Drosophila melanogaster: one gene and its partner. The protein of the gene in region 1 interacts with the protein of each later gene in a pairwise test. Each region holds a gene or a part of one and is shown in the gene's direction. Other genes may lie near its edges.

Evidence for each region.
Region 2: the proteins of sa (region 1) and CG2082 interact in a two-hybrid assay, tested with the Drosophila melanogaster proteins (one large-scale study listed by BioGRID).

The regions. Positions count from the first base shown.
Region 1 is NT_037436.4:21,397,310-21,412,874, reverse strand, and holds sa (spermatocyte arrest), read left to right. Parts: upstream 1-6,136; 5' UTR 6,137-6,178; coding exon 6,179-6,293; intron 6,294-6,356; coding exon 6,357-6,935; intron 6,936-7,230; coding exon 7,231-7,364; 3' UTR 7,365-7,450; downstream 7,451-15,565.
Region 2 is NT_033777.3:5,763,386-5,780,226, reverse strand, and holds the start of CG2082 (uncharacterized protein), read left to right. Parts: upstream 1-8,328; 5' UTR 8,329-8,525; coding exon 8,526-8,597; intron 8,598-16,841. Other genes in the region: jagn (jagunal), read right to left, coding at 55-427, 711-799.

The DNA.
Region 1 (15,565 bases):
TTTTGTTGACTTTACGGCTATGCAAAGTCTGGCATATTTATAGATTGAGTGGCAGCGTGGGCGGAGAGTGGGCGTGGCATTAGCTTTTTTTTTTACTAATGGCCCGACAGATGATGATGCTCTCGACACCAATCGGCCAGCCGCTTTTGTCGCTTTTTAATCTATATTTAAATTTTTCCAGCACGAAATGTCAAGGCGAGCCATTTGGAATCGCCACAAAAATCAAACAAATCAAACTCGATATCTGAAAATCAAATTACGTTCTCATAGGCAGCGCCACGTATATGGTCAAAAGCAAAAAAATATAAGTAAATACAGAAAACTTTGACACAGCAAATGGCATGCAAATTGATTCTGGTCGTAAAATAGAGGAATGAGTTAGAATCTCTGCTGACTAAGCTATACATAGGTGTGTTTTCAATCCACGGGAGGAATTGAATCATCTGCAATTTGACTCACACGGGTTTTTCTACCAACACAGTTTGCTACGTATGTCTGTGACTTTGAAACAAATTGTTCAAATATTGCCCAAGTATCAATATTGATCGTGTGGCATTAGGTAAATTGTGTCTCTAAGGCCACAAAAGTGCCATTGGAAATTATTACGTATGCGCCATGTGAGAGGGCATAAACTTTTCCATTTTGCACTCTTATTAATTTATATGCCACTCCATCGTCTTATCGCTAACTTATTGTGGTAAATGCAGTTGCAACTCCCTTTTCAATAAAAAATGCACACGGCGATAGTGCCCAATGGAATCAGCATAAATAAATGCTGGAAATGGGTCTCCGATCGAAGGCGATGTGTGGAAATAAATATAAATAAGTGTAAATGAAAACCGTCTACGAGAGGCACATATTTATATATATGCGCCTGGCATTGCGCAAAATGTGCGGTGAGTATTGACAAGAGGGCCAGGAGGTGTAACCAAATTGGAGTGGGCGGGTTTTGGTGGCACAAATTGCATTAGCCAAATGAACTGGAGAAATGGCATCCATATCGAGTTGACAGTTGAATTATATGCATGCATTTCCCCAGTGATATTTATAATACAATTGCCTTGCACATTTGTAAGTGGGAATTCATTGAAGAAGTGAAATTTGTGTTCGAGAAATAACTGAAGATGAAAGGATTGTTTATGAGAATTACACCTAATCAGGTTAGTCTATGATAGTATATAATCATAGACTAAGATTAAAGATGTCGCATTTAATTGACAGATTTTCTTGTTTCTTAACCCAATAAAGTCAATTAAACAAACAAAGTTAAAAGTTAAATACATCTAGTACAATTACCTATTGGTTAAGACGTCCTCAAGAGTCCTTTGCAACCGAATCGGCGAATCTGCAATACAAAACACAGCAATAATCAATAAATGCTCTCGATGCAAAAAGGAAATATGCAGATTACTTTCACGAGATTTCCTTTGCCGTAACATTGTCTCAATCGACGCACAAAATGCAAACCATTCGGAGCAAAGCATTTTGACATTTCGAGAGGCGAATAATAATCCAAAACTCCTCGATTCGAGCCACTCGGCGTCAAAAAAATAATAATTGCAACGGAATTTATGGCGGATCACAGCCACTTGAATATGTCAGGATTTCCCCATTTGCCCCACTATGTGCTATATGCCGAGCTACCCCCACTATTCTATCCATCCCTTTGATCAGGCAGTTCTTTCATAATTTCAGCAACTGCATTCTGGGGCTTTGTTTGTTTATCTTCGTTGGCTTCGACGTTGTCTGTCAGCTGAAAATGTTTATTTTGTCGACATACGATACAGAAAGTTGTAAGAAACTTCTTCGCACACAGCCAAAATCCCCTTCGAAATTTCTACGTTTTAGCCAAAAATTCTGACGATGCTGGATCTGAAGCTCTTCACTAATGTCGAACTGCGTAATTATGCTGGGAAGGTTTCTAGTTTTCAGCACATATTTTGCATTTTTGTGTGGTTTCTGGAACGGATGAGCGCAAAGTAGTAGATGGGGAACCTGAAACTGCATAAATTTGCCGCCAGCTTTGAAAAGTTGATTTGAATTTAAATCGAATCGAAATCGGGTCAGACGCTTGCCTCGTTTCGGGAAAAGACAATTGAATTATTAAATGTGCCACGAGTTTCGCAAACCGCTTTTAATTCCCAATTTTGCACATGTAGCCTCACTAGAATTGATAATTTATTAAATTCCGTTCGACATAATTCGCCTTTTGTTTCGCCAATAAATTTCAATTTGGTCAAACCAAAAATGAAAAACAGGCGTAGCCTCCAAATTGTGTCAATTGAGAGTAATAAAGTCATTTCGATTGCTATCTTCGCGTTTGCTTTCATTTCAGATATAAAGATATACCAACCTGGTCTATGATTAGTTGGGCCGTGCCGAACATGAAAACATGAAAATGAGTCTGGCTGCAAAATTACTTTGTCAACTTCATAAAAGGCTAAATTGCAACATTGTCTGTTTGACTATCCCAATCTCTTCTATTCGATTTGCATAGCCACGTTTAGTAAAGTACAAGGAAACGTTGTCAGAGTTGGGTTGGGAGTTGGGAAAATGCAAACAACTTTTATTTGTGTAAAAGTTTTTCAACTGACAAATGTCGAAGTGCAAAGAAGTCAACTATAGAACTTGCAAAGTGCAAGTGGCCTAATAATAGCCGAAGTACAAATAGAGACTAAAACTAGTTCTTGTTCAAGTGGGTTTTCAAAGATTAAATCTGCCGAAGACAGGTTATAAAATATAATATATATATTTTTTTAAATTCAACTACTCTTTTATTAGCAAAACTACAACGAAACCCGACCAAAAAATGATTTCCACAGTTTTGAACTTCTCGCAATGAGTACTTGAAAAATTCCAGAAACCCAACCGAGTGTAAAAACTTTTATGGGTTACACAAAAATCAGTGAGAGGCTCGAGCAAATATGGTTATAACCTAATTTAAGTCATTCCAAAAGCTGTTTTTTAGGTTGATAAGATAAGAGGGCGATTTATCAAAATTTGCTCACTGATTCCGTCACTAGTTGCACATGGCCCATTTGTAAGTATTTAAAGATTGCTGTTAACCGATGTCCCCATTCCCACTCCAAGTATCGAAAATGCATGCTGAATGTAGCACCTGTTGGTCATCCAAACTCGTTTCCCCTTTGCGATATAATAACTTACAATAATTGTTATTGTTAGTGCCGTAGTCAATGTACAATTTAACACAACTTGACGGGTTGACGAACGCGCTTTGTGTCTTTGGTAAATTGGCTTCCGTAGGCTGACTGCTGGCCATTGATCAAAATCAAATGTGGCCCAAACCGTTCGCCATCTGGCTTTAATTACGCAATTTGGCATTGATTGTGCCATTAGCGATTTGTTTGGCCGGCAAAAAGTCGTGCGAATGCCTGATTTTGATTGTCTTCGATCCAGGAGATTGTAAAGAGGCCTTAACTAAGTGCTCATTATCTTAAAAAAAAAAAGATAGCCAATCAGTGATAATTTACATTCTTTTGTCCTTTTTTCGCTTGAATTTAGGAAAATTAGGAGATGGTTTTCTTTCAAAATAATTTTATTTAGTTATTTGACTTTCTACTAAACTCTGCAATCATGAAGATTTCATTTTTTAAATAGTTGTATTTAGTTAATTGAATTTCTATTAAACTCTGTAATCCTGAATATTTCATTTTTGAAAACTGTAATTTGCAAAGGTAACTAGTTCAGCTAGTTCCGTTGACCTCTAATCCGTTTATTTCGGGACGTGGCTCAACCTGTCGAAAAGTTCCCTCATTGGCCTGCCATAAAGATTATGCCGCCCTCCGTCAAGTGATTGCTTTGAGGCAACAGTTCTCCAGAAGATCGTGCCACAAGCTCAATGAAATCCAGACAGTTTCTCGCCTAGATGCATTTGGCCTGCGTGGGCCTAACGGTCCAGCAAAAGTGCATCTGCGATGAGGAACGAGGCGATGGATGAAGGAACCGGGTCCCGATATCTCAATAGATTTATCTGCGCCTCGGAAACTGGAACAATTTGTGGTGCTTTGTACTCCAAACCAGCCGACGCGGCAATTTGCACCGGGCCTTTGGTCACAGACTTCCCTAGCAATCGCAATCGACTGCTCAATCAATTGGCTGCCAGTTTGTCCAACTGTCGTTCGTCTTTCTGTTTGCCGATTTGAGCTGTAAGCTTATCGAATTAATCGTTTGAATTAGCCCAAGACAGCTCAATTTGCGCCGACTGCACTTCCCCTATGTGCATATGTATATGTACTTGTATACAAATACTCCGCTGTTTGAATCTTGGCTGGTGGTGGCTAAATTGCAGCAATTATTATGTTTGTCGTCTGGGCAAACAACCTGCAAATCGCTCGTCGTCGTCATGTCGGGATGTGCTCCTCATTCTTGTTAATTAAGAATGAATTTATGCGACAATGGGCGCAACCGCAGTTGCGGTAAATCAAAAAAAAAAAAAAAAAATAGTGCATAAAAAGCCGATTGCTTTTAATCTTTGCAACAGAGAAAAAAATTGTATTTTAATCATAAAGCGCTTCTTGAAATCATAGCTATCATACACTATCAAAGGACGTTTATCGTAGAGTAAAAGCGTATTCTAGACTATATACCACTAAATATCCGTTTCAAAATATGTATTTAATATGTTGTAGACCTGATCAGAATTACTAGGCCGGACAATCAAACCATGTCGGATTGTCCGTCCGCATAAACATGGAGATCTTAGGAACTATACAAGATTGAAAGTTAAGAAAGTAAAGCACGCAGATTCTACTAACATTGACGCACAGGAAGCTTGAACAAGATTTCCACGCCTAGTTTACCGCCCACTAACCGCACAAAACTGTCACGCCCGCAATTTTGAAACATGTTTTTATTTTTAATTTTATTATATGTCGAAAATATTTTTGCCACGCCCACTCCTAGGTCAAAAAACCACTTGAAACTGTCACCAGGCGAAATATTCATATTTATTTCTATTTATTTTTTCATTTTCTTTTTTATTTTTCAGTTCCATTAGCTAAGCAACGAGTATCTAAAGTTTTTGTAACGCAATTTGAAAACTATATATATATTTGAATACTTAACGTTAACGACTTGGAACTTTATTATCTTTTATTGTATTATTTATAAACAACAAGTTGTCAGTTTTCAATTGAGCAGAGATTTTTTTTCTCTGTGGTCCGTAAACGGTAGCGCTTGGAGGCAAAAACATTAGATCCCAGATAAATACGGGCGAGTTCATTGTACAAATGTCAGCCACGGAACGCCCACAATGCACGACCGCCAACATAATCCCCATCATCTACATCATCATGATGGGATCGTAAAAATATAAAGTGGAGAAAAGTGGTGGGGATATGATGGGGGAGGGACTCTGGAAGGAGGTACAATTTGTTCAATTGCAGCAGCCTCTTGGGCGTCGCAAACGCGAATCTGTCTGCATCTAAAGTAGTTTTTCCACTCTGACACAGTGACCTCGTGCTTGGATTTTTCCATTTCCCCCCAGTTTTCCGTTCTCCATTCTCTTTTCGCACCATTTGTTGTTGTTGTTGTTGTTGTTGTTGTTGTTGTTCGGCTTATGACTGATTATAGCTCACGTTTTGGCTAGTCTATGACGGAGTCTGGAGAATTTGTCATCAGACAAACAATGGCTCCCACTTTGGTTTTCTTGGAACCCATTCATTCATTCATACGGCTGTAAATATTTGCATAACTCATTAGGAGAGATGCTTAAGATACGAGTCTCTATACGCCGAGTCGTTTGCAGTAGGTCGCGATCGCAAAAGGCGAAAATATTATAATTTATTTATATATTATTATAAATATATTAGTTTTAGGGGAGTGGTGCGGACAGTTCCCAATCGGTATTTAGCTGCTGGTCTTTAGTGCTCAGCCTTTTGGAAAGATTGTGTAAACAGTTTAGGCTGTTATGCTATAAACTGTTATACGGAAACATATATGCAAATTTTTGGAAATTTGAAAATTAGAAAAGAACATGGATTCCTTGAAATATAATTAAAATATTACATAAACACTTCAGATGTTTAATAAAAATGACTTTGGCAATCCTAAAGCAAATAAATCAAATGTCAATTAGTTATCGTCGATAAACTTAAGGCCCGGCCAGTCCGTGACACTTCGTTTTAACAGTCAGTCGAATCGAGTGATTTGCCCAAAAATGAATACCTACGACGAAGTCTTGGCAACAGTGCTGGACAATTTGCTGGCATCCAAGAACTGTGAGGTGGTCGACGACGTACTGCGTCAGTCGATGCTGGAACTTTTGCGTGGCAGTAAGTAGCTAGAAGAAAATTCGTACCATGTCAATGGTATTGTTAATCAATGTGTTCCTCGAGAATTCCGTGAGATTGCACGTCAGACTACCAATTGGTCCAATCACGCTGGTCGCTGTGCACCCAGCTACTTCGATCTGGAGCGCACCTTCATCCGGATGAACATCAAGGTGGGCGAGCTAAAGGCCATGTACGAGGGTCAACCGGATTCGTTGGTCTTGGTTGAGTGCAATGCACCGGAGACACAAGACCAGGACTTCCACAGTGTGCCGCAACCCGTGCTGAGCTCCACAAAGGCCGTGGAATTGGCCTCCACCACGTATATTCCGGACCATTTGCCACCATTTCCAGGGGCGCACACCTATAAGAGTTCGACCATTGAGAAGGTTACGGATCGCAGCTATGTGGCCATGAGGAATCGCCATGCCGAGAATGAGCTGAACACCCAAAACGCCTTAAATCAATACTACCTGAGGTGCAACCCCAATATATCGCTGTTCGAAGAAACCCAACGCGATGGAAGTGGCCACGTTTTGGATCTAGGTCCACCCAAGAAACTTCCTTATTCGGACGCCCTGATGCCAAGAAATCAGGTCTTTGATACGGACATCTATGCTCCCATCGAGGTGATAACCCACAAAGGTATTTAATTACTATACATACCCAGTAATATTGGTGCATAAAACGCTTTTACACAGCCATTATATGACATTTTACGTAAGACAGGGCAGAGACAGGCCCTAGAGTTTAAGTCTGGAAAACTGATTTTCCTTAAATCCCGCGGACTAAAACGGACGTATTTTGTGAAATAACTTAGAGACTGCACTGAGTAACCAAAGTGGAACATTTAATACTTTTGATCGCTTTTGCCTGACCAAGCTTATTTCATTGCGCAGCCATCACTTTCACATGGTCCTAACAACTTTGATCCCGACAGCCCTCGACTGCCGTTACTTGGAGAAGCCCAAGTTGCACAGTTCACGCCCATCCTCAGGAAATTTCGAAGAGGAAGACGTGGAAATGGAGGAGCCCTGCAGTCCAGGGGGACTAGGTATTGAAAAACCGAATTAAACTGCAGCTCAGTAAGAGGTGAAAAGCACACGAAATGTTTCCATTGCCAGACCAAGCTACTCCACGGAATAAAGTGTGAAAAAATTAATTTATTTCAATTACATTTCATTAAACACTGCCACACGTTGCGATGATGCTGCGAGAGTTCGAAGGAGCAAGAGGTCCTGCGCCTGCTGTAGCAGCAGATGCTCCTCCTGCTGCTTCTGGCGAACGCCTGCGATTCCAAAGTATTAAATAACTTTGTAATTTAATTAACTTTGACGTCGGCATCGCATCGTCTGCTCTGCGACGCTTAACTTTGATTAACGTTTGCAATTTTTCAACAACTTTCGACCGAACTTTCTCGCCATCGAGCGGGCGACACTGCGTCCAAAGCGTCCGTAGCCAAAGGATTGTGACTGTGATTTCTTCGCCTGGCTGGGATTACAAGGGATTTGCCTCCTCCTCTTATCTTCCGCTAAAGGGCACTACCCTTAGTTGCTTGAAATTTTATCTGACGATTGGAAGGGTTAAGATTCAGGGGGGAATATTGAATGCAATTAGAGATGCTGGGTGATGTTTGGATGGGGTGGAACCTCCCTGGATGACAAGCTAATAATCCCGGGGAACGAGCACAATCACTTGGAAAACTAATTACAGGGGAAGAGTCGTGGCAATAATCAATAAGTAGAGCCACTGCCGATTTTTACATTCCGATAGGTATAACCATTCAAGAGTTATATGTCAACTTGTTGTTGGTAGTTAAAGACCTACCAGTTTTTCCATAACATTTATGTCCCTTTTTTATAACACGCTAAATATTTATTGACTGCTATTGCAATATACATTTTATATGTTTAAAATACCTGTTTTCTAATTATATATTCCATTGAGCGTTGAGCAAAAACGTTTGTGTGTTATTTGTTTTAGCCAGAATAAATCAAGTCATAAGAGCTTTGCCAGTTAAATTTGGATCTAAAAATGTATTCAATAAATAAGTCTAATGAGCTGGAAACATGACGCACTTGCTCCACATTTCCGAGACGCTGGCCCTTTTCTGCCCATCATTAGCCTCATCATTTAGTCATCAGCTTCGGATTGGTCTCCATGTTTTTCGCCGACGACGATGATGGTTTTATTTGGCACAGGCAACATCAGAATTTTACGCCCAATTTGACTTTGATATTGTGCCAGGGTCGGGGTGGGTCAGTTTTCTTTTGTGGGGCCAGAGATCAGACAGCTGGCAATCGCCGGCTGCTTGCAGCCCGCTTTTCACTTGCCAAATTTTCCGAGTTTTTCTGGCTTCTCGGACTGCTGTTGTTACTGTGCCATTTAAATGCATAAACATAAACATGAGCAACAACGGTACACAAATTTGTGAACGACCGATAAAAATAAAATTACATTTATGTGGGAAAACATGTCTGAAAGAAAGAAAGAGAAGCCATGTCGAGAAAGGCCAACAAAAATGTGCTGCTTTTTTTTTGTAGCCGTTCCCAATTGCGTTTGTCATTTTAACCCAGTTAACCCATGTTAGCCAATGTGCATTTATCTATGCATAAAAACCAGCAATGTATTTGTTGTGATTTCCATTGGCCACAAAATTGCTTTGGCATCTTTGTTTATTTTGCGGTCTACAGATAAAATTCAATTCAACATGAAAACGAGAATGAAAATTATGGCTGCTTTGATTAATATTTTGCTATTCTATGTTTTCAGATCTTTGTGAGGCCACAGGAAAGATGGTATTTTAGGATGATACATTTATTACTTGCCACTGGAAAAATATATTGCTCTACATAAGAAAGCACTTTTAGAATTAACCTATTCGTATTCTATTCTAATTACTGATTGACCGATATTTTGTTACTATCATTGTTTTTAAGTTGCTGCAAAGAATACGCTTTCACTATTTTCTTAGATCCCGAGAAAATCTCAACCACTTCTAATGGAAATTCGAATTTGGTTTTTATTTTTCATAATAGCACCCGGTTTTCGCTGTGCATGCATGCGGATAAACCTTTTTGACCTCAGGGCATATAGTTTCTGATTTATTTATGCTAGTTGATAAAAATGTGGCCGGGCAAAAAGCGGATATCCTAACGAACGGAGAAGGTCGTGTGGCGATGGCAAAAAGGCGAGTTCTGTCAAAAGTTCACATTTTCATTTCCGTTCGCGGGCTCTTCTCTGCGTGTGTGTAAGTGTGTGCAAGTTTCGATTCGTTTCGAGTGAGTGTGTGTGTGTGTGTGTTTCGACCATGTTATCTTGTTTACTTGTGCAGCCCCTCGACGCATAGGAGGCCACAACAACAACAGACAGTACCAGCAACGACATAACAGCCATAACAACAAAAGCCAATTTTTCATAAATCTTTTTTCACAGCCCTACAAGCGACTGTCGTTGAATTTTTACAGCTGCATTTAACCTTTTTCTCTTGGCATTCGCTTTAAATTTGATGCCCGTGTGTGCCATAAAAATGCTTCTTGCTCGCATATTGCTCATACGCACCGCTGCCTGCGCTGCGAAACCAAACAAATTGCTACCTCGTTATAATTATGATGTTTTTTTGCGCCTAAACAAGGGGGAGTTTCGTTAGGCTCTCTTAAGCAAATCAATTCAAGTTCACGCTTCTTATTTATTTACGCGCTTGCTTTTATTTTCATGTTTTTTTTTTCTCCTTTAAGCGAAGCGTGTGTGAAAATGTACTTTCCACTGCCTTTTTCTCGGTCTCACTTTCTTTTGCATTGCGGTTTCAGTCATTTCTTCGACTTGCTACGGCCTTATTTGATTTTTATTATCAAGCGGCTTAGGGAAAAAAAAAACTTTTTTTCACGTGTTTTATTTTCTTGCTCTTGCTGGGCATCTTTTCTTCTCTTGCGGCTTGTGTTATTTATGTCGTCTGCTTTTTGACACACATACTCGGGAATATGGAGTTGGGAGGAGGAAAAGCGAAGGAAATATGGAAAAAGTGCCAGTAAATCGCTCTTGGTTCGTGTTTAGCATGAGAATGCGCCCTTGCCTCGTTTGGGAATTACAAATTTCTGCGGCCCAAAGCCACTGCGGAACCTCATCCACTGTCAGGGACCTTCTCGAAAACTTTAACTTGGAATATTTATATGACGGGTGGCGAAAAAAAGAACTCATATTCAGCGATGAATACAGTTTCAAAGAAACTGTACGGATCTGGGCCACTTACTTATTACAAATGTTTTGTTTCACTTGTAAAAAAAAAGGTGGGAATTCTCTGTAACATTACATTACATTACATTCTCTTGAAGCAAATTACACAATGTTATTATATAAAAGTGACCTATAAAAATGTGACCAAAAGGCCCAAAAACCAATAAAAGTAAAAATTTTAAAAGCCAGCATATTTATCATACCTACCAATTTTCATCAAATGACTTCTCTGAAAAATAGTTTGCCAAACAGCAGCCGAAATAGAAGAACTGTGCGAACCGAAGCCACATCCCTTTTGGCCCATTTGTACGTGTTGTTAGCACGTTCTGTTGCTTTATGGCCGCTTTATTATGTAGCCAGGCCACTAGGGAAACTCACTTCCTTTTCTGGCCAGCTTTTCCCCCTTATCCCCCTTTCACGACTTTTCCGACTTTCCCGCTTTTGTGCGTGTGTGCTACGCGTTTGTTACTCGATATTATGGCGGCTATATAAAGACAAGTGTATACGCGATTATATTTTTAGCATCGCTCTACGTGCGTAACGTGTTAAAAATAAAGCAAATTGCGTATACGCCATGCCTGCTCTTCTATTTCGAAATGTGCTGCAGCCACGCCCCCGTTTCGGCTTAATTAAATTGATTGAATTTGATTGCGCCAGTGCCAACTTGCCAAAGAGGATGCAATTACATCTTCATCTGCCTGGTTCACCTGTCGATTTCGCCTCTCTCACAACAGGCAATTATGCAAATTTTTTTTGGCCCTCGCTCACGGCGCTCATGGTGCAAAAGGCAGCAATTTCGGCGAAAATGCATTTCGAATTGAATTAATATACCTTGTCTGCTGGAAAGGAAGAGCAGAGGAGCCCCCTGCTGCCCCGCTCGCCCAGTCATTGGCAAATGAAAATGTTTTGCGAATACCTAATGTGTTTATAATGCCAGAAACGTGCCAGCGTGCAGATATTTTAGCATGTCAAAGTAGCGAATGGTAGCGAATGCAAGTCTCCTACAGATATATCTTCTTGGCCCGACTTCCGTCGGGAGCCTGTCTCATTAGCCTGTCTTTATGCTGTTTATGCATTCTAAACAGTTTCACCCAGCCACAAACCGAAAGATATGTACTCTGATGTCTGGCACTCCGTGGCAATGAAAGCAAGTTCATTTGCCACGCAAAAAGTGGCTGGAAATCATTTCATAATCACAACAAAGTTGACTCAAAAGCCATAAGCGGCAAGCTGTCTGGAACAATGTCGGAGCTGCCGAACAATGACAGTGCCCTACTATGGTACCATACAAAGTGTATAATGAATATAATGGCTAAGCAGCCCTGAATGGGGCATGCTACGAACAGCAAGGGCGCAGAAGGCGCAGGCGCAGCTTTTCGCGCATCTCGGATTTCCCGCTCGAGGGTCACCCAAGTGTTCCACTTCAGGTGGCAAGCTGAATTTCCGCAATCTGCCAAATCGGTTTCTTATTGTGTCAGGAGCAGAAAGACAGCCTGCCCAAGCCACGAATTACTTCAGAAGATTTATAGCGGTAAGTAGTAGGAGCAGTAATCAGAGGCGATGTTTGAAATTATTTTAGAGGGGTTTCGGAAAAACGTAATTTTTCATTTCAGATCAATGTAACTTGAAACCCGCTTATTATTCTATGTGTTTATTATAAATATTAAGGGTTTCCTTAAAAGCTTGCTAGGTTGTGGCCAGTTTTGGGTCTAGAACAATTAGATGTCAGCATTCTTAATCAAGTTTCCCAGAGAATAAATAATGTCAATGATGTAATGTTCAATAAAATAATTCCTGTTATAAAATCTCAGGGGATTTGGCTGTTTTGGGACCCCCCTGAGTTGGCCCCTGCGATCTGAGTCTTTAATGGCTCGATGCTATCTTAAATGTTTATCGCAGACGATGCTCCGTTGGCTCCATGCTCCCGTCTCTTTCTGCCGCCTTCGGCCCACTCGCTCCCTCTCTAATCAATTTGAAATGGTTTCGTGGAGTTCGTGGCGGTCGGATTCAGTGCGGCTCTTATCAGCATTTGGCAATCTTTCTTTGAAATATTTTCCATATGGCTGCCGCTTTATCTTGTCAAGACTAGGCCCGCCAAAGCAACAACCATAACCAGAATACAAAACAACATCAACAGGGAGGCCTGTCATCGGCATGAAAATAATGCCAGCAACAGGTCATAAATTTGAATCATTTAAAAATATCCGCAAACACATCCATTGAACGGACAGTTTCCAAGTGGAAAATGCATTTCGGGTCAGCACAAACTTTCATTTCTAAAATGGAGAAAGGTTGGGGAAACTCTGGGGACGGAGGATTAGTTGATGCAATCGATTCACAAGACGATGGAATGACTGCCAAGTGCATTCTGTATTCTTTGCATAATTTTAAAAGTTGGAGAAAATCAAAGCACCAATCTTTATATTTTTGTGTGGCAACAAATAAAAAGTATTAAAAGCTTGAACAAAAAAATTAGGTAGTTAAATAAATACATACTATGTATATTTTCAGTCTTGTTGCTGAAACATTTAATTGACTTCCTAACATAAAGACCAGTGCTTTCCGTAAAGGTGGTCAGAGCTTTAAAGTATTTCATTCAAAATGTATGAAATTAAACAAAAAGTGTATTAAATATTTTGCGTGAATGCTTTAAAATGTTGTTTTTTTTTTGTAAAAAGGGGAAAACTTTGGATGCATTGCATTCAACTTATTTTATTGTTACTCTCAAAACAATTCCCCAAGTCTCCCAGACAGTTGACTAGTTGAGCCAGCACCTCTCAATGAAGCACTAATCTCCAGCCACCTCCACCAGGCACCACCCACTACCACTCAATACCACCCACTACCACCCACTACCACCCACTACCACCCACTTCCACCCATTTGTTGCGCCGCCCAAAAACCAGTGCTCAACTGCTTGCCACACGTGGGATGGCACGTTTACGAATTTGCATTCAATTTGCGGTGCACTCCAAGGGGAATTTTACCGTTGGCGCTCGGCGGTGAACAGATGAACATGACCCAGCCCAAATACAACCGAAAACCACCCACCCAACTACTTAACCACCCGTTTTGGCATTGGAATGCCCCATGACCTTTGGCCGTTGCTATTTTCGAGTCGATTCCATTGGCCTGAACTTGAAAATGTATTTTCAGGCACTTTTCCCCCTCAGCCGCTTCATTTGTTCCGGAAAATGGATTTTGTTCTCGAATATTATTTATTTATACGCCCTGTGTTACATCTTTGCTGGATGTCACGGCATCTGTCCCTGAATTGGATATATATTTATGGCTCGGATAATTGCGCTCGACCTTTTGTTGTGGTCGGTATTTGTGCATTTCCCATTTGCGCCGAGTGTTTAAATAAATGGAAAATGCATTTTTTATACGCAGATTAATTGAATCATTTTCGAGCTGGCCTATTTAATTCGGTTAACGCATTAAAATTGCATTGAGCCTGTTGATTGTACAAAGTAAACGTCGAATGCCATCAATTTTGCAAATTAAACGCAACCAAATCCAATTGTTCTTCAAAGTATTAAAGTTCTCCACACGGTTGGCCAATAAAAATAAAAACTACCATACATACGTGTACTCTTGAATAAATGGAAATGTTCTTTTTCGATCACCGTATGTCATCCGGCAAAAAACATCAATCATGTTGGCAAATTCACAGGCATCCGAATTCAGAGCCTCGCACATGCAGTTGACATATTTTCCAACTTATTTGACAGCTGCTGGAATTCTTGTGACAACTTATCCACTTTAATCTCAGGTGTCGCATAATTTTGAATAAATGTGGAAAGCAAAAAGTTGTACTTCAAAATAATGGCCATGGTCTGCAGAACAGATAAATGTTCAATTCGGGATTTTGTATTTCTTGATGTAGTTCATGTTTCTGCATTTCAGCAAGCCGCTTAATCATCAATCATTCAGCCAATATAATGTATCAATGCTCGGCAATAAAACCAAAACTAAAATTCCCCGGAAAAATTACAACGGCGAAATAAAATCGAAGCATAAACACGAGAAAGCAACAATAAAATCAAAAAACTTTTGATGTAAATAAATTAAAAGTAAGCAAGAGAAACTGTGACACACAAACGAAGGCCTAAGGAATGACAGTTGGCATAAATTTTGAATAATTCCCAGCATTCTTGGGAAAACCAGCTGAATAGCCTCGAAAACAGCCGAAAGTATCTGAAGAAACAATTAATTTTCAATTAGGTTCGAGGGAAGCCTTTCGCAACAAGTGTTTGCTTTGCCCTTCTATCTCTTTTAAATATTTTTAAATGGAAAGCGTCTGAGTCTCGAATTGCGTTGGGTATGACTAATTTACATCTAAAAATACAGAGGAAAGTTGCCAAGAAAATTGGCACGCTTCTCGTTTCTCACAAAGAGCAGAAAACAAATACAAATGTTTACCCCAAAATTGAGGAAAACTACAGCGGAAAATAAAAGTGTGAACCAATTAGCCCACTAAATTATGGCGAAAAGCCTTAAGGCTTATCTGAAAACTGTATTTATAGTGGCTAGAATGTTTGCGGTTTGTAGTGCCAAAAAAGAAAGAATTTAAATTAATGTACATTCTGCACACTGTATGTATCTAATTATTTGGCGCTTTAATGTTTTTTGAAACGAGTGAAAATTGAAAACATAAACTGAAAATAGAAACTGACGAAATGGAAAAAGAAATAGATTAAACAATATACATATCATGCCACATTTGAGTTGCTCATCTAGAATCAAATGAAATATATTTCTAGATTTATTCATCTTGTCTATGTGTCAGCAGAAACTTTAATGCACAGTCTTTAAGTGTTTTTTTTTGGCTTTTAATGATCGCCAAGAAATGTCAGGAGTATATACCTAAGATTAGAATCATTCGAATGCCTTCGCCACGAGCTTTAATCATAAATGTAAGAAATTATTCACGGCCAACCGGCGCAAGTACCGTGCCCACTTTGCTAAGTAAAGCCCTCGGCTGTGAGTTTTATCGGTTTCGGGGTTGCGAATATACCCATGAATATACAGCCGTAAAT
Region 2 (16,841 bases), on another chromosome or scaffold:
AAACCGAGGTTTAGTAGGGCGGCTCTTGAGGGATTAACTGGCCCAGCCACTTACGCGCCACACAAAGATGTCTGTCTCGTCCAGCTCCACCGACTTGTCCAGCGTGGCGAACTCCCACACGTCCGAGAAGTAGTAGGCGAAGCAGTAGAAGAGTGGCAGGATGGCGAATAGCAGTATGGCCACCATATACTTCTGCATTTCGCGCACCTTGTTGCCCCTGGCGGCCGAAAGGCCCAGGAAGGAGGTGAGCAACGACGCGGCCCACACGTACTCCCACCACAGGGGCGGTGGGACCTCCAGCTCCTCGATCTCCAGCACAAAGATATCCAGGTGGTCCAGAATGTCCGACGTCAGCTTGGCCAGCATCACGAAGAACAGCAGGGCGTGAAAGAAGATGCAGTACTTCAACCTGGACTTGTTCAGCAGGCTAAAAGAGCAGAGAAAGTGGTCGTTCAGTGGCGGATCTGTGTGGGTGAGCCCCATATTGGGGCGCACATGCTGCCCAGCTGGCACTTTGCCCACCCGCCCCCTACAGCAGCAAGTGGGTGGGTGCAGCAGCTCCAGGGTGCTCCGCCGCCCTGGCTGGACGCCACCTGCGATTCGGCTGCAGTAGGTGCCGCCTGCAGGTGGATCTACTGCCACAGGCGCCCCAGTAATTAGATAATTTCGAGTGTAGCTGAGAGCTGGCGATAGCACGAAGTGTTATTAACCTAATTTGATATGTGCCAGCTACGCGCTGCCTGAACTCGAAGTCGTTGCCATCGGTGCCCGCGACCATTGGTCCGCCGCGCGTTGCCATTTCGTTGCCTTCGTTCGTGGGTCGTGTCGTTCGCTCACGTCGTTGCTTATTTTTAATAAATAATTGCACAAAAAATAGGGCTGGCACTAGAATCGATGTGTGTGCGATACCATCGCTGCCACCAAAAAACTGGCGCACATCGATACGCTCCTCGCTACCATCGATTACTTTCGCTTGAAAGCATAGCAAATAACCGTTAGAAAGAGAGGGGAAATTCCGCTAAGTTTTAGAATGTTCATTTTCAGAAAGTCTGCCATGGAAACTATTAATACATCTGCATGGAAACTGTTTACAAAACATTAATTAAATTAAATAATTAGCCTTTTAACTGTATTAGCAACACGTGATTAGTCATATTATTTAATTATTTTAACTTATTCTATTACAGTTATTAAACAGTTATTAGTTTTAATAAAGTGGCAATGTGGTCGTGGTGACTAGCTCCGCTTAGGGAAATTTTAATTGGGAGGATGACTTCGCTAGGTGTGTAACCTCGCTAATGCTGTGTAGAATAAATGTGTTATACTTACATACGTAGAACTTCAGTTTTTCTCTAGTTAGTTTCGGCAGAATGTAGATAGATATTCGAACTAGTCGCAAATGAGAACGATTTTTTAAAGGTAATGCTGAGAGTTTAGCATTGCTAATCTGAAAAGTGGGCTGGTGAAAAATAAAACCAAACCTATTCTTAATGGCATTAATGGCACTTAATACTTTAATTTTCATATCTTTTTTGCACGATTTTAGAAAATGAGGGCTGGTTTTAATACTCCGATTGAAATCTTCCATCCATATGAGAATTATTTCTACTAAAAGTACAAACGCTAGACTAAAATGAATTGAATTGCATTCCAATTCCAATATGTCTTATAGACCAAATGGCAGAACTAGTAAGATTTAGTAATGATTAATGATTAATGAACGGGTCGCGATGAAAAATATTACTCGTAGATTAAAAAAGAAGTATTCTAGATTCCTTTTTCAACGAATATGTATCAGGTGAAAGGAAGTGTTTTTCGAGCCAATAAAGCATATATTGGTAAGGAACACTAGCCGAATCGAACTGGCCATGTCCGTCCGTATGCACGTCGAGATCTCAGGAACTACATATATAAGAGAGATTAATTTAGTTTTATTGCTATGTCAGAAAATGTTGAAATTCATGTTTGAACTTTCACTAGCAGAGAAAGGAGTATCTAATAGTCGGGGAACTCGCCTGTAGCGTTCCCTCTTGTTTTAGTTTCTCCGTACCTTGTTTTTGAATTTGAACTGCAGTTCCAATTTTTCGAAGCCAATAATGCCTAGTGCGTCAAGCCGAAATTATCATAATTGGGTGCAAGTGCTCTTTGATGGGATTATGCAAATTGGATGCAGCTTTGTGTCCCAATCAGTTTTCCAGATTGGAAGCAGTGGGTGTGTCCGGCGGACTTTCGGCGCTCTGTCAACTGGCCAGCACCTGTTGCACCGAAATCCATAAATCAATCTGCCACGAAACAAGAAACAAGCGAGGAAAAGCCAATCTGCGAAAATAGAGAGGGCGACGACGTTTAAAAATAAAATAATGAATTTCCCATTTCAACGCACTCTCTTTATGCTCGCTACGCTACAAAAGTCGAGCATTCGGCCCGGGTGTGTCATCAGTTCTACGGCGGTATTCCTCCGACTTGGACGCGTTTTCATCGCATGCGATCGTCTCCGGCCGAAAGTCGCGTCTTTCCCGCTCCGATTTTAATGTCAGTTGTTGATAATTTCCGCTCGAATATTTATGCTGAGCTCGGTGGCTGACACTTTCGAGTCCAAAGTTGAAGTTGCGCCATAATTGCGATTCGGTCCATAAGGTAATAGACCAGAATAGTACCATCACAATGAGTGGCACTTGCATATTAATTGCATTTCATCGCCGAGTCTTTCTTTGTTTTCGCCAAAAATGAAAACACATACGCGGCAGATTTCATGACTTTTGGGGCCGGGACCTCCACCTCGAATGTTGCCATTATATATATATATATTTTTTTTTTTTGGCAAATAATGCTATATGAACTATAAACCAATTGGTTAACCCTAAGAATAGAAATAAAAGGAATTCGGCTAGCAAGATGGCTCCTGCATAGATTGTACTTGCACTAGCAACTAGTATTTGGTATTGGTATTGGGTCTTGTTGATGTCCACTGTATTTGCATATGATTCGACTTAGCGTGTGCCGTGCGATATTTGCTTAGTTATTACAGACTTAAAACCATATCGATCGTGTGCCTTAGATAGATAACAGCCTGTTTAAAGTTCTGCCTCTTTTCATTTCAGCTGCGTTCCCCGGTGATACCTACACCCCCGCGTGACTTGTCGGTTCCCAGTATCTTCCGGATAGCCCAGTCCCAGTCACCGATCCTGAACCGCATCCAGAGCCCCAGTCCAACCATGTCCATTGCCGATAAACGCGCCTCCTTCGCGCGCCGCGCCGAATCCCTGGTGGAGCGGGTGAGAGTTATGAATACCATTTACGAGGTACCGGCATTAAGTGACCACGGATCGTGAGATCGATACTCGGTTTTGTTTGTTGCTTGCTGCCCCGCTTGCCACTAATTCAGATTTATGTTGTCAGCACTGCTGCTGGCACGGCTCGTAATTTATGGCTCGAGGCGTTAAATGTGTTTCACCCATGCCATGACACTTTCCCAGTAGAAACAACAGTCCCAGGCACAGTCAAATTCCCAGTAGCATCGATATACATACATATCTGATTAGGTACCAATGGCCGTGGGTGGCGGGGCTCAGACAGCCAGTCGGTATTTCTCGGCTGATGGTGACGCTGTTTGGCTTGGCCCGACTGCTTTAATTAATCTGAAACACTCGCGTACGTTGTGCACATCGCCTTAATGAGTGGGGCCAAATTGTGCTCGGATCAAGGTCGTCGGAAGTGTTCCCTATCACAAGACCGATTGCCTCCTATGGGCATGGTTACACCCGCCGCACAAATGTGTGTGTGTTTCTGAAGGGCAGCTCTCGGTGGTCTCAAATCCATGTACGAGTATGTATGTTCTTCAGTAGTTGGAATGGCCTTTTGGCCGGCAGAACAAACTAAGGCTATACTCGTAGGTGGCACAGGTCACCACGGAGCATACAGCTCTTTAGTATTAAAGAAACCTAGATTGGATGATCCTGATCCTTATAGGGCACAAGAACGATCAAAATCAGTTCGGCTTGCTACCAATGGCATATTCGCACTCGCGGGGCATAAAAGAGTCATTGCTCCACTGTCTAGCTAAAAATAGGTGTCCCCATGCAAATAGCCCCCAAAACTGCGCGGTCATCGTGGATGTAGCAGTGGCAGTGCTTATGCTTCTGTATGGGATTGTATGGGGACTCAATGGAATTTTAGCAGAGTAGCCCCAAGCGAATTTGTCAGCGGTTGGGAGAAGTGAAGACAGTCGGGGGCAATGGGAAGAAGGCAAAGAGTTGCATGGGAGTAGGGAAAGACGTCCATATAATGGCATCCACACTGCAGCTTTAAGTGAGCGGACTGACCAGGGCACGGCACACTCACTGGAAAGACCGGGTTCATTGGACAGACGATCCATTTCAAAATGATTTCTGCACATCCATACATCGAATACCAAGAGTAAAGAGAGAGAAATTGGGTGGTCTAAAGGCAATGAATGGGAAATAAAAACGAATTAAAGTGACACTTTTGAAAGAATATTCATTTTATTGTGTACATACATTTGATATGAGGTTAAACACCATAAGCCTATTTTAATTATATCTTGTGATATCATAAATGCATGGCTTTTTATGCTGCTTTAATAAAATTAGTTACCATATACTGATTGATTTTAAATTGATTTCTCAAAACATCTAAGTATATTGCTAAGTATTTGATTTCAAATTTGAATACCCATTTTGTGTTTAAACTCACTTTCTCCTCAGGAAAGAGACATTAGATCCTCGTTTGTGGAACGACTAAGCTTCTAATTAGACTGTTTTTTTTTTAGCTGAATCTATTAATAATATACCCCCCCCCCCTCCGCCAAGGAAAGTGGTGGAAGGGCTTTCTTTGGCCGCGCCAAGTGGAGGAATTAAAAATGTTAATTAAATTTCGGTTCGGAATGGAAGGTGGAGGGTGGCGGAGGGTGGAACCCGAGCTAGGTGATTCGCCTGCCAAGAGGGCGCAGTGGTGGTGGGGGATTCGGGACCAGGTGTTAGTAACACGGACTTTGCTTACACTTTGCATATCAATTTGGGACGAGTGGAAGCGGATGATAATGGCGGTAATGATGCTGATGATGGCGCTTATCAATCAGCGCGGGAATTTCGGTGACCAAAGCTTCATTTGCATTCCATTCGAACGACCTTTCACTGGCGGATGATCGATGTTCGCATAAGCCATGCCCATCTTCCCCCCATCCTCCGTCCGCTGGGCCAACGCATGCATTTATTCCATGTCGTGTACACTCCTATCGTTCCGCTCGTGAGTCCAAAAATAGCTGGGCAAATAAGTTGGGTGGCGTGAGTTCGCGACTACGACGACGCGAACATAACGAGCAAAATAAATGAACGATAAAAAGCCAATAAAGAGCGGCATAAATAAATGCGTAAATATCGAGCGTATACATTATATCGTTGCGGAGGAATTTCCGAAGATTGCCTGCCACTTTGCAGGGCAGGGGCGCGGCTCAAGGGGCGTGGCAGGAGGCAGGAGGCATAAAGGAAGATTCGGCAAACGCATTTGCTCAAGTGTCGCCGTTGTCATCCTTCGGCTGTTGGTTTTTCCAGGACGTGTGTTTGTGTTGCCATTTGGGCTTAAGTGTTCCGGGCTGATCCTGCTGGTGCGGGTGGTTCCAAGGGGGAACAGGATGCTCCTGTAAATGTAGGACGGGATTTAAACTGTTGCAAATATTTAGTGGGCTCTTTAATATATCCAAATATATCCAAATTCAAAACGTTAGGTCTTTTCCATTAGTCTAATTAGTAAAATACGATATAAGAATAAATTGTGTATCAAAATTCATGTGCTTATATTCCCTTTTTGGCTCGACAATTTACACAAAGTGCTTGAGTTTGTTTTTATATTTTAACCCATTGAAGAACAGAACCCCTATGATGGCTTTTGCCCAAGCTCCAAGGCACCAAAGGCACCGAAAAAATTGATTGGATTTGTTTACCAAGAGCCATTGCTTCCTGTTTCGCTGACTGCCGACAAGTCGTTGTTTATCTCTTGGAATTTAGCGTCTGTTTGGGGGAAAACCTTGAAGTTGAGTTCCTACTTTCACGCTTAACTTTGCGAATTGACATAAATGGGATATTTGCGCTTTGCCAACTCCCCAGATACTCAGATACCCAGCTACCCAGCTACCCAGCTACCCAGCTACCCAGTTACCCAGCTACTCAGCCAACTACTTGGATCCGCCTGAACCCATGCTCCGCAGCTTTTGCCGCCTTGAGCAATCGGCTTACACACTATCAATTGCAGCCACCCTAGTTTTAGCACCACCCCCCTCCCCGCTCTCCACTGGGATCCCATTCAGCCATTGTTTGCCACACCCACATCATCCGCTAACCGCTCGAAAAAGGCGTATATTCCCCAGGTGCCCATTCACCTTCCTGGGCCAACGCCTGCCCGCCCATAAATCCACCTCCTTGGCGGATTTTGTTGTGGGTTCGAAGCACCTGCCTGGATAATTGTGGCTGACAATGGTGTTTGTTCGTTGCTCGTCGTTTATGTGCATGCAGCGCTGTTCCTTCGCCCGCCTTTTGCTTAATTCCTTTGTCTGACTGGCGGCTTTATGCGCTTTCAGTCATCATCATCATCCCCATTTGTTTAATTAAAGCACGTGTCGAAATTGAAACACAAAAAATTATGACACATATCTGCTTATGGCCTTGGCGGAAATGCATGCAAATTTTGAGAAGATCAGCGAATTGCTCTCGTAAAACATACATTTAATATGGTTCATTTAACTGAAATGAAACAACCTTTTGAAATTTTTAAAATATCTTCAACGGTTTTTCTTTCTGTGCTCTTGTAAATCGAAAGAATTTAAAATCGCATGGAGTATCAAGTATCCAAGCCTTCAGTTCATCCAATATTTTTGGTTTACCCCTAATTGGCTTCAACATTTTGCGCTTTTCTCATCCAACTTTAAATTACTTTCACTTTGGCCAGCCAGCATTTTCGAGCTGCATCATCGGTAGTTGCGAAGGGGATGGCCTTCGATGTCAGCACATAATAGTAATCCATTCCATCATATCACCGTACCGGCCGCACCGCACCTCTGCACCTATGCTCTGTGACCCTTTTTCCATATCCATATCAGAAATTTCGACCCGGCGGCCACGCCCCCACCCACAGGCACAGCCCCTCGTGGCATAACCGCAGCCGGCTTGACCTAGGACACGCATATTTCTAATGCGCATTTCGCCAGAGAAGTGGGCGGAATTGGGGTGCCCGGGTCGTCCGGGGAGACGGATTTGCGCATTTCCCGCGCGCTGACAAATTAGCACATCAAAACAAAAAGGCCAAAAAGGCTTAGAGCAACAAGAGAAGAAGGGCTGCAAAGGCGAGAGCCCGCCGACAATAAAGAGTCTGCTCAACAATGCCACCGAAAACAAAGTAAGACAAAAAGGATTTTTACATAAACCCACGCAAGACACCCACACAAACGCAGGCCAGCAGAAACACACACACACACTCTTACAGCGACGAACGTGAGTGGGCGCCAAACTAAGCGCGCCCAAAAGTAGGCAACGGAATTTTCTCGGCAGAAGCTGTAGGTGCGCGTGTGTGCGTGCATGTTGCAGTGCGAGCGTTGCCAGATGGAAAGAAACGTATATGTGAATGTTCCCTTGAATTTTAAACTGCAATTACGTTCTTTAGAGGTAATTGAAATATTTGGGATTGCTTGACGTAAACAAATGAGAATGAGAAATATTTATATTTTCTGGTTGGTATCTAGAATCACTCTTTGCCAAAGCTAAAAATACTATAAAATTACACCACAAACAAATAAATAGTTCATAAGCTGTATTTAGCTAGGTTTTATAGGTAGCATATTTGTCTAGATGCATATTTTAAGTAATCGTAATGCATTGAAGATTCCAGAAACTACTATTGACGCATACAAAGTCAAAGGACCAGAAACACAATATCTAAATGTGATATAAATGTGATATAAATTTAATACTTTTCAACACAAAACTCAGTTGGGAGTCGAATTTCGTAATGCGTAGTTGGTGGGCAACCATCTGGCCACGCTCTGTGCAACACCTTCCCAACAAACTGCCCTACGGCAACATTTCAACACTTGGCCCACCCCCAACCGCCTCTTTTTCCCCGGCAGCATCACTGCGAGAGCGAGAGAGACAACGGTAGAGGGGGAGCGAGTGGGCAGAAGGCGATTTCACTTGGCCATTTCACTCATCATCAGTTTGTTTTGCTCCCCGTTTCGCTCAGCTTCGTTTCGCCTCGGAAAAGATCGGCTTTTCACGCCGGCGATGGCGATGGCGTAGCATTTTCCCATGATAAGCCAGTTTTCCCAGTCGTCGCCAGGCGTTCGAAGATTGCGCATTCGTTCAGAAACGCGGTTCCGCCCGATTCGCATCCGATTTCGGTTTCCATCCTCGAGTGCTGCTGTGCGCCTGATAGAGCCCCGTTCGAGCCACGCTTGTGTGTCCCGCAGTTCCTTTGAGCAACCCAGTGAAGTGAAGCTACCGTCGCCCGAATCCCACACCATGTCGAAGCCGGGAACCCCCAAGCACGGCGCCGGCTCATCCTCAGCAGCTGCTGCCCCCGAGAAGATTAGCGTGAGTTCCGACATAGCAGTTTACCGCCAGGAGGACAGCTTTTCGAAAAGTGCATCCTGGCTGATTTGGGATGCAGAGCATCAGAACACCATAATATCATGTTCCACATCACTCCCGTCCGTCAAGTGCGTTAATGCGCTTTTCTAGAATTCTCTCTGTGCGTATACGTAATATTCGTAACACGCCGAGCTGCAAGTGCGAGCGACTACTTCTGTTAACATCTCAAGTGTCTGAGTGGTATAATCTTTCAAAAAAGTCGGGATAAATATTTGCACGGAAATTAGTGATGAAATTGCAGACGAGTGAATTAGTTTGCTATAAGACCAAGTTGTTCTGAATAATATTTAAAAACCTACCTAAATTAAGAAATTATGAAATATTTCTGAGCACTTGTACCACGAAAAAGCTATTAGTTTTTCTTCCACATGAAAAGGGCTAAATAGCACGTAAATGGAAAATTATACTATCAAAAAAACGTAAGGTGTTGAAAATGTAATCAACTAATTTCGTGACAGTTCGAGGGCTTTGTGGAATTAGTCTACCTAAAATTCATCCCCTTTACTTCCTTCAATTAAAAAAGGTGAGCGCGAAATGCTAAGCCAGACTAAGCCACCGCGATCGAATAGAGAAAACAGAATACAGAATATATTGTAGAAACATATGCTGGTGACCTCGAATTCCCCTTTTGGCACGGGGTTACCTTTTGTAGTTGGGTGCTGTTTGCTTTTTATTTTTTTGGCCCTCGGTGCCCAGTGAACTGGGCTCAAAGGGCATAGCATACTTTCTGTCTTGCGCCTCATAAAAATTGCATAATTGTCGTTCTGCATGTCGTTGTTTGTGCGACTCTTTGTGTGGTCCTGTTGATGTGGCTATTGGAATGGGGGCGACTCAACCATTAGCCTGGAACTGCATGTTTCTTTTTACGTGCCATTTGCGGTCGCATCTGGCACACAGCAACTGCGTAGAGTGGGCCAAAACGAATCTAGGTGCTCAAATGGGCAAAATTATGGTGTTCGTTCGGTCTTATTGGCCTGCTATTTCCCTCTTTTATTAGGCAGCTAATTATATGGCGACAAAGTGGTGCGGACTCTAAACGGAAATAAAGGAACATATCCAAGTTGAAAGTTAAAGTGAATGCACCCACTTCATTGAAATATGGTTAATTTATTGTTGAAATGCTACATGTTATTTGATAATTTGCGGAGAAAACTAATAACTGGAATATAAAAATTAAATCTTTATAAATATTTGCTATGTAGCATTTTTTCACTTATTCGCTTTTGGCCCTCGTGGCTGGCTCATAATTTCCCCATTTTCCTTTTCGACTGAGCTCATTAAATCCTGACCACAATGTGAGCTGCGCCACTTCCACCCCGACCACATGGTGCACACCCTCTTGTCCTGCATTGCAATCTCAATCCAAATATGCTGACTAAAGGGCTTTGCTGGAGTAAATCTCTGCGATATATGGCTGTATTCCTGTCCGACTCGCTTTGTTTCCCAGTTTTCCGCAGGGCTCGCTCATCCCCTCAAGCGGAATCTGAATGCGATGGAATTTAACTAGGGAAAAGCATAATGGGGAGTCGGCTGTCCATATAGGGGTATGCATTATACATGATACTGCAGACCGGGCCAGACCTATACCACTATTCCCACGACTTTTTCCATTTTCCTTCGACATTCTGCCCGCGGGTCTTCCATTGGCCGCCTTGAAGAAACTTCCCATAATTTGTGCTGGCCCACACTCACACTTCAGGATATAAGTCCTTTTCGGTCAAGTTTGCGTTCTTTGTTCCGCCCAGCCAAGTTTCTTCATCCTCCGAGTTTGTTTTCGCCGGAGCATCTGGCGTGTCCCCTGTCCACAAGACGAAAACTTGTTGACTTCGAAGGCATCGAAAAACACGCGTTTCTCCTTTTATTTCAATTTTTTTTTCATATTTTTTCCTCTATGCATTGTTAAGTGAGTGGGAAACGGTGGCGTAAGAACTTTGCCACCGGCAAAGTGTCAAAGTTTGCAAGGCAAGGTTGCTCATACGCCCCGTTGCCCCCTGCGGCTGCGGGCGCAAACTTAAAGAACATTTAATTGGTGGCTTTAAGCACCGGCCTACATGCCCGCGTGATTTGTTTGTGTCTATTAAAAATTCCCTGGCAATGCGGTCGCTTCGCCAGAAAAGTGTGCTGGAATTTTGTTTGCACAACTTTTCGCATCACTTGGGGGCTTTTGCCTTTATGCAACCGACCCCCACCCCTCCCCCTGCAAGGTTTTCCATAAATTCAAACACTTTTACCCAGATTTTCACCGCCCTCATAACGGCATCCGCAGGCTGTTGGAAAAGTGTCGGGGCATAAAAATCCCATCAAGTATACGTCAAAGTGCGGCCAACTTGTGCTCCTCTTAGATAATGCCTGGCAAAAAGGTCCTGCACGAGAAGTCAAAACGATTCCAATTCCAAAATGCTGACTGTGACTTTTCGCTCTGGATTTAATTGCATTTCAACTAGATAGGCAAATTCTACTTGGTCTAGAAGAGCCATTAAATGGTTCACATCTACATATGGCAACTGAATGTTTTAGTCTCCGAAAATCCACCTGCCACCAATCTTTGAATCGGACTACTAGGGCAGAATAAATATGTAACTATGTCCCAATTATAATGCACTGCACAATGGCACAGTCCACCGATGATTACTATGGATACAGACTCGAATTTGTGTACATTAGCAGGATTTGCTGTGCCAAATCAGCTGGGAAATTAAATATCATATCAATTATGTGGCCTGCACAATGCACCTGCAGAATTCAATCCAGGCAATTGCTAATTGAAACATTTCGCCCGCCACTGGGTATTCGGAATATTAATTGAGATTAATGCGTTGTTAATAGAATGAACTCGGAAATGGCACAAGTACGAGGGACCAGAGGCGGCCCATATCCGATAATTAAATCTACATTACCATTACGCATGCTGGCCAGGAAAAGGACGGCAAAAAGTGAGGAATAGCATCAACAGAATGAGCCGGGCGAGAAGGAGGCATATCTATGTGGGCAATCCACCCCCAGGACGACACATGACAGCACTTAACCAAATACCAATAAAATCCTCAGAGCTGGGGATTTTGGGGCGTTGGGGGCATCCCCAAAGTGCTACGGTGCAAGTGCGGTTATTAGACAAAATCCATTTACACTTGAATTCGCTTTTGGCCAAAATGAAGTGGCCAAGACGGGACCTGGACCTTCTGTCCGTCCGCCCATCAACAAACTGGGAAACGGACTGAAGGAATGCGAATGCAATAAATTAAGCCCGGGGAGCAGTCCCACCGATTGAGTTAGGCGTGTCCGGCGAGGAAAATGCTGATTAGCGGAGAAAATAGGGGATTGGGTTCCGGAGGACGGGCCTGTGGCCTTAATTCAATGGCAGGCACTTTGTTAAATAAACTTTCTGTTCAAGTGGCGAATACTTCTGCAGCAGACTTGGCTCTCTCTCGAGAGTCCTTAACTAGGTCCCGGCTTTGTTTTACCCGATCCACGCTGATGAGTTGAAACCCTGATGAGCCGTGTGGTGGGCAGTGGGGGATCAGAGATAAATGGTGACCTATATCCACCTGGCTGGCGAAACACTAGTTTCCAATGATGGTGTATACCTCTGATGGGCAATTAAACAAGCACAAGACATTTAGCCTGCATGCTGATGGATGGAGTGCTGAGGTGCGAACTTTTAGCCATTTCAATCTTACAAACTTTTCGACTTGCGTTTAACGATTTTTTGAACAAGCAACCAGATGACAACTTCTGGCTACAGCAAGTTTTCTCGTTCTTGGATAAAATATATTGTAATTGGCAAACGTTTGTTGTTTGCCTTTCGTTTTTGCTCTTGGAGCAGCTCAAAGGATATTTCTGATTCGTTTAGCAGATTAGAAACAGTCAGAAGATAATAGATCAATATTCAAACGAATTTTAATGTAATCACACAAATATGTACTCAATCTTATTAAATGTAAGGTTAGATACCCCATTCTGAAATAATGGGAGTGCGAGGGAGAAATTTCAAAATAAGCTTAAAAACCACACATCGTTTTGCGGAACAGAGTGTATCAGGCATCAAGCCGTCAACTGTGAAATCCATCAGCAATCCTGCAGACTGAACCCGACGGAATGACGGCTCCTGCAAACGCTAACACAAGGATGTGAGTCCTGGGAAGGGAAGGGATAGGAAGCGTTTTGATATGATGGATACGGGGCTGCCGTGTGTAATGGGCACTTAGGTCGCTGCCACATGACTGCGACATTAGAGGGGAATCGGGGCAAATGGGATTGCCGAGGGGGCACGGGTTTGGGTTCACGGGTTCACAGGAATCAAGAATCGGGATCGAGGCTGAACGGCAACGTGAAAGCGCAGTCAGCCGGCAGGAAAAAAGCGATACGAGGATGTGGAGGAGATACATGAGCGACCAAGAGCTATGGCAACACGGAAAAGCAACAGCAAGGAGGTCAATGAGTTCAGTACAGCGACATCCCGGCAAGCTGCAGCATTCAGCTTTGGCTTGGGGCAGCGCCTCAGCTTTGGAGGACTTCCACCCACTCACCCACACTTCTGGAAGGACCCCATTCGCTTTTGTTATCCTGCGGAGAGCAAGTGATACAGTTTTATGCATGTTTTCCAGGCATTCAGGACATCGTTTTGGGCACACTTCACATACGGTTTCCTTCTACGATGCAAAACTGAAACGCATATATCTGCATCTGCTAGTGATATTCAAACAGATGCCCGGAAAATGCTCATAATGAAAACCAAACTTTGCGGACATGAAAATGCAATTCGTGTCTCGCAAAATTGTACTGCTCTATTTTGTTGATGGCAAACAAGTAGGTTATTTGGCAACGGGAAAATACATTCTTGTGTGTGCGGTTTAAAGAATACCTCGACTGACATTGTAGAGCATTTCAAAGTATTGATGTTCTACAAAAAAAAACTATTTTTGGGCGGTGAGAATGGGAGTGGCAAGATTTTGGAACAACTTACACAGCGTAGTCGTCAACTTTCTGGATTTATTGGTTCCCGAGATCTAGAAGTTTATACGGACAGACATACGGACTGACAATCTTTCTCAAGATTATATGAACTTTATAGTGTCTTTACCAGTAACGGGTATTAAAATTGCTTACCTCAAAAATACGAATTCATTAGCTAGCTGATGACTGTTGCCAATTGAAGAACTGACCCCAACTTGTTCCTTGAAAGTCAACATCATCTCTCATACATACGTGTTTCCGTCACAGGAAAATCTAGTCAAAGACATGACAACTATATAGTCGTGTGTCTCAATTAAGAATCCAGATGCACATGGCAGCAAAAACAAGGCAGAGTGCAAGTATTGACCCAATCACAAGTCAATTAAAGTGCGACGAGCGCAGACTGAAAACCGGAGGAAGGGCGGGCGAGCTAGACTTTTTCACGTAAATCAAACGATTGAGCCAAATGACTTTTTAATTGACTGATGACTCTGGCAATGCCAAGAGCCACATGCAAGCGGCCAAAAAGTTTTTCTGACGCAAAACGAGTAAACATTTTCGCCTTTCAATTGAAAAGAAAAAACTCGAGAGTGAATAAAAACTTCAGTTGGCTGTCGCATCAACTTTATCCCATATCGTTGGCCTACGAAAGTCGGACTGATTGGACTGATCGAACCACGTGTTTTTTGGTATAAAAGAACGCTATAACCCCATACTTTTATCGGTATTATTTAATTAGACAGAAAACATGTATATATGCTCATTACGTTTCTTTGAAAATCAAGGAATCTGAAGAAGAATTTCAAAGTATAAAGTCTTCAGCCTTGGAATTTACATACATACATACCACACATCATTCTTTAAAGTTTCATTTTGCTGGGTGTACGTCAGAGTATCAAAGGCATTCGACTGTTAGTGAGTGAAAATTCTGCCGGAGCCAACCGCACTACATCCGTCATCCGTGATCCATGGGATATAAGTGAGGTCAAATGTCAAGGATTCCGCTGGGGGAAGGTAAATGGATGGGCTTCGGAAGGTCGTAAAGTGCAGCCAGCCAAGCAGCCATGCAGTTCGTCACAGGTGGCACCATCCAGATCCGTCCAAACCCAATCCCAATCCCAATCGCAACTCCGCCCACCTTTCCACTTTCCACTTTCACTTTGTGTTGAGGGCGTGCCATTTATTGGCAATTTCATTATTTATAAGCGTTTTCCATGGCATGTATATATATACTATATTTGAACACTCTGATGGACGGACAGGTGCACAAAAGGCTACACTTGCCTCATCGTTAGTTCGTCAGTATCCCTGCAATTGCCCAGGTCCTGGCTCCCAGTTCCTCCTCTTCGTCTTCGTCACCAATTGTCAACACTTTGTCGCAGTCATTCGTGGAATGCATCAAGTAAATAAATTTCCCACGCCCTCGAGATATACTTTACGATGTGAATTGTACACAGTTCGGAAGTCGAATTCCTCGACTATAGGATGCTGCTCTGCTCATGAGATGTTTTTTCCAATCAATAAAAGTTAGCACGATTATTTTTTAAAGCGGGAAAGGTTCCCATTGCGCTCTGCTTTGTCCTTGGCAGAAACATGAGTCCAATCCTTACGTTCCCCCGTCCTGACCAACCCACTCACACTCAATTAATGCCAATTGATTCGTGACGGGGAGCAAGCCGTCTGCTTGTTTATTGTCCATTATGCAGTCGCCTTATCCAAGCACGGTGGCCAATCCTCCCCAGCTTGTCGATGGATTCGCGTGCGATGCAGCCAGCTGCATCCTGGCTTTGCATTTTGCATTGTCCTTGGGCGGAAAGATTAGCTCTGTCAGCTGGTAAACGGAGCGCAGTTACATAAATAGCCAATTTGAGTGATTTATTTATGCGCCTAATTTGAATGGAAAACTTTTTATTGGCATGGCCGCAGGTGAAACGACGACTCACAAATGCATTTACATAATACCCATTCCGTTTATTTATCTATTTACTGGCTTGCACAGCACCCCCAAATGAGCGGGTGGTCTGAAGCTTTCGCTTAAACCAAATGGACATTAAGGGGCTTAGGAAAATTCTTGGCCGGAAGAGGTTCTTGGCCCTGTTGGTCTTTTGACACTTGTATAGTTTCGCTCAATTTCAATAAGTGTTCGATGGACGTGCCATGGTTGTGCTATTCGAACCTGGCGGCTTCGTGTGGGTTGGCATGCCCAGGACTCGCAGGACAAAGGAGACTGCCGATGCTCCCGTATCAATTCGAGGTGCTTCGCAGGCTTATTTGCTTTACGCCTTAATAAATTCCGAAATGGGCTCTGGCAAGGCAGAGGCGCCTGAAAGTGATAGGCCAAACACAATACACTTCCCTCCGCAAATCGAACATTTTGTGATGGGGTCCTCCACATGTAGCATATTGGACTAATCTACCCTAAAAATACCATAAATGATTGGGTATAACATAGCGTCAATACATTGTGACACTTTGTCATAATAAATATAAATATACAAATATACAAAAAAGACCACCAAAAACTACGTAAGCACTCCAGCGCCCCAGTAATACGATCTAACGCTTATACATAAGCCGATCGCGGAGCGTGGGAATGCTGAGCATGCACTTTGCCGCTCAAGTGGTCAATGCCTTCTGCATACATATGTATATGTATAAATGTAAGTAAGAATGCATAGATATAAGCAATGTATGTGCGGGTTAGCTGAACCCAACTTCAGCACACTTTGATTATTCAAATAAAGAACCTCGAACAGAGCAGAAGCTAAGCTCTTCTTTCATTAAACATCAAAATAGCAACCTTTAAAATAGCACCTTTCACACACAGCTTGAGTTACACAAATCGATACTTTGAGCTTAACGCAAGATTAAAGTACAAGCTGAATAATAGCTCTTATTTAATTCGAGCACGCAAGAATTTAAAGTGGCTAATTAATAAATAATATACCTATCAAAGTTGTTTGTTAATAAAAAGTGAAGGTAGGAAAAACCGTTTCCAAGCTGATAAAATTTATATATCTATTCTTGATCAGGTATCCGAGTCGATCTGGACAAGGCTATCTAGTTGTTCGTATGGACATAGAGATCTCGATGTTTTTCCAAAAGTAATAAAACTACTTTTTATATCGACCTGTTAAAACCTGCCATTTTGACCTAGATCTTAATGGTATCATATTTTTGGAATATCTAAACGGAGCATTGGGCTTAAACAAGATGTGTGCTTCGTCACTACTT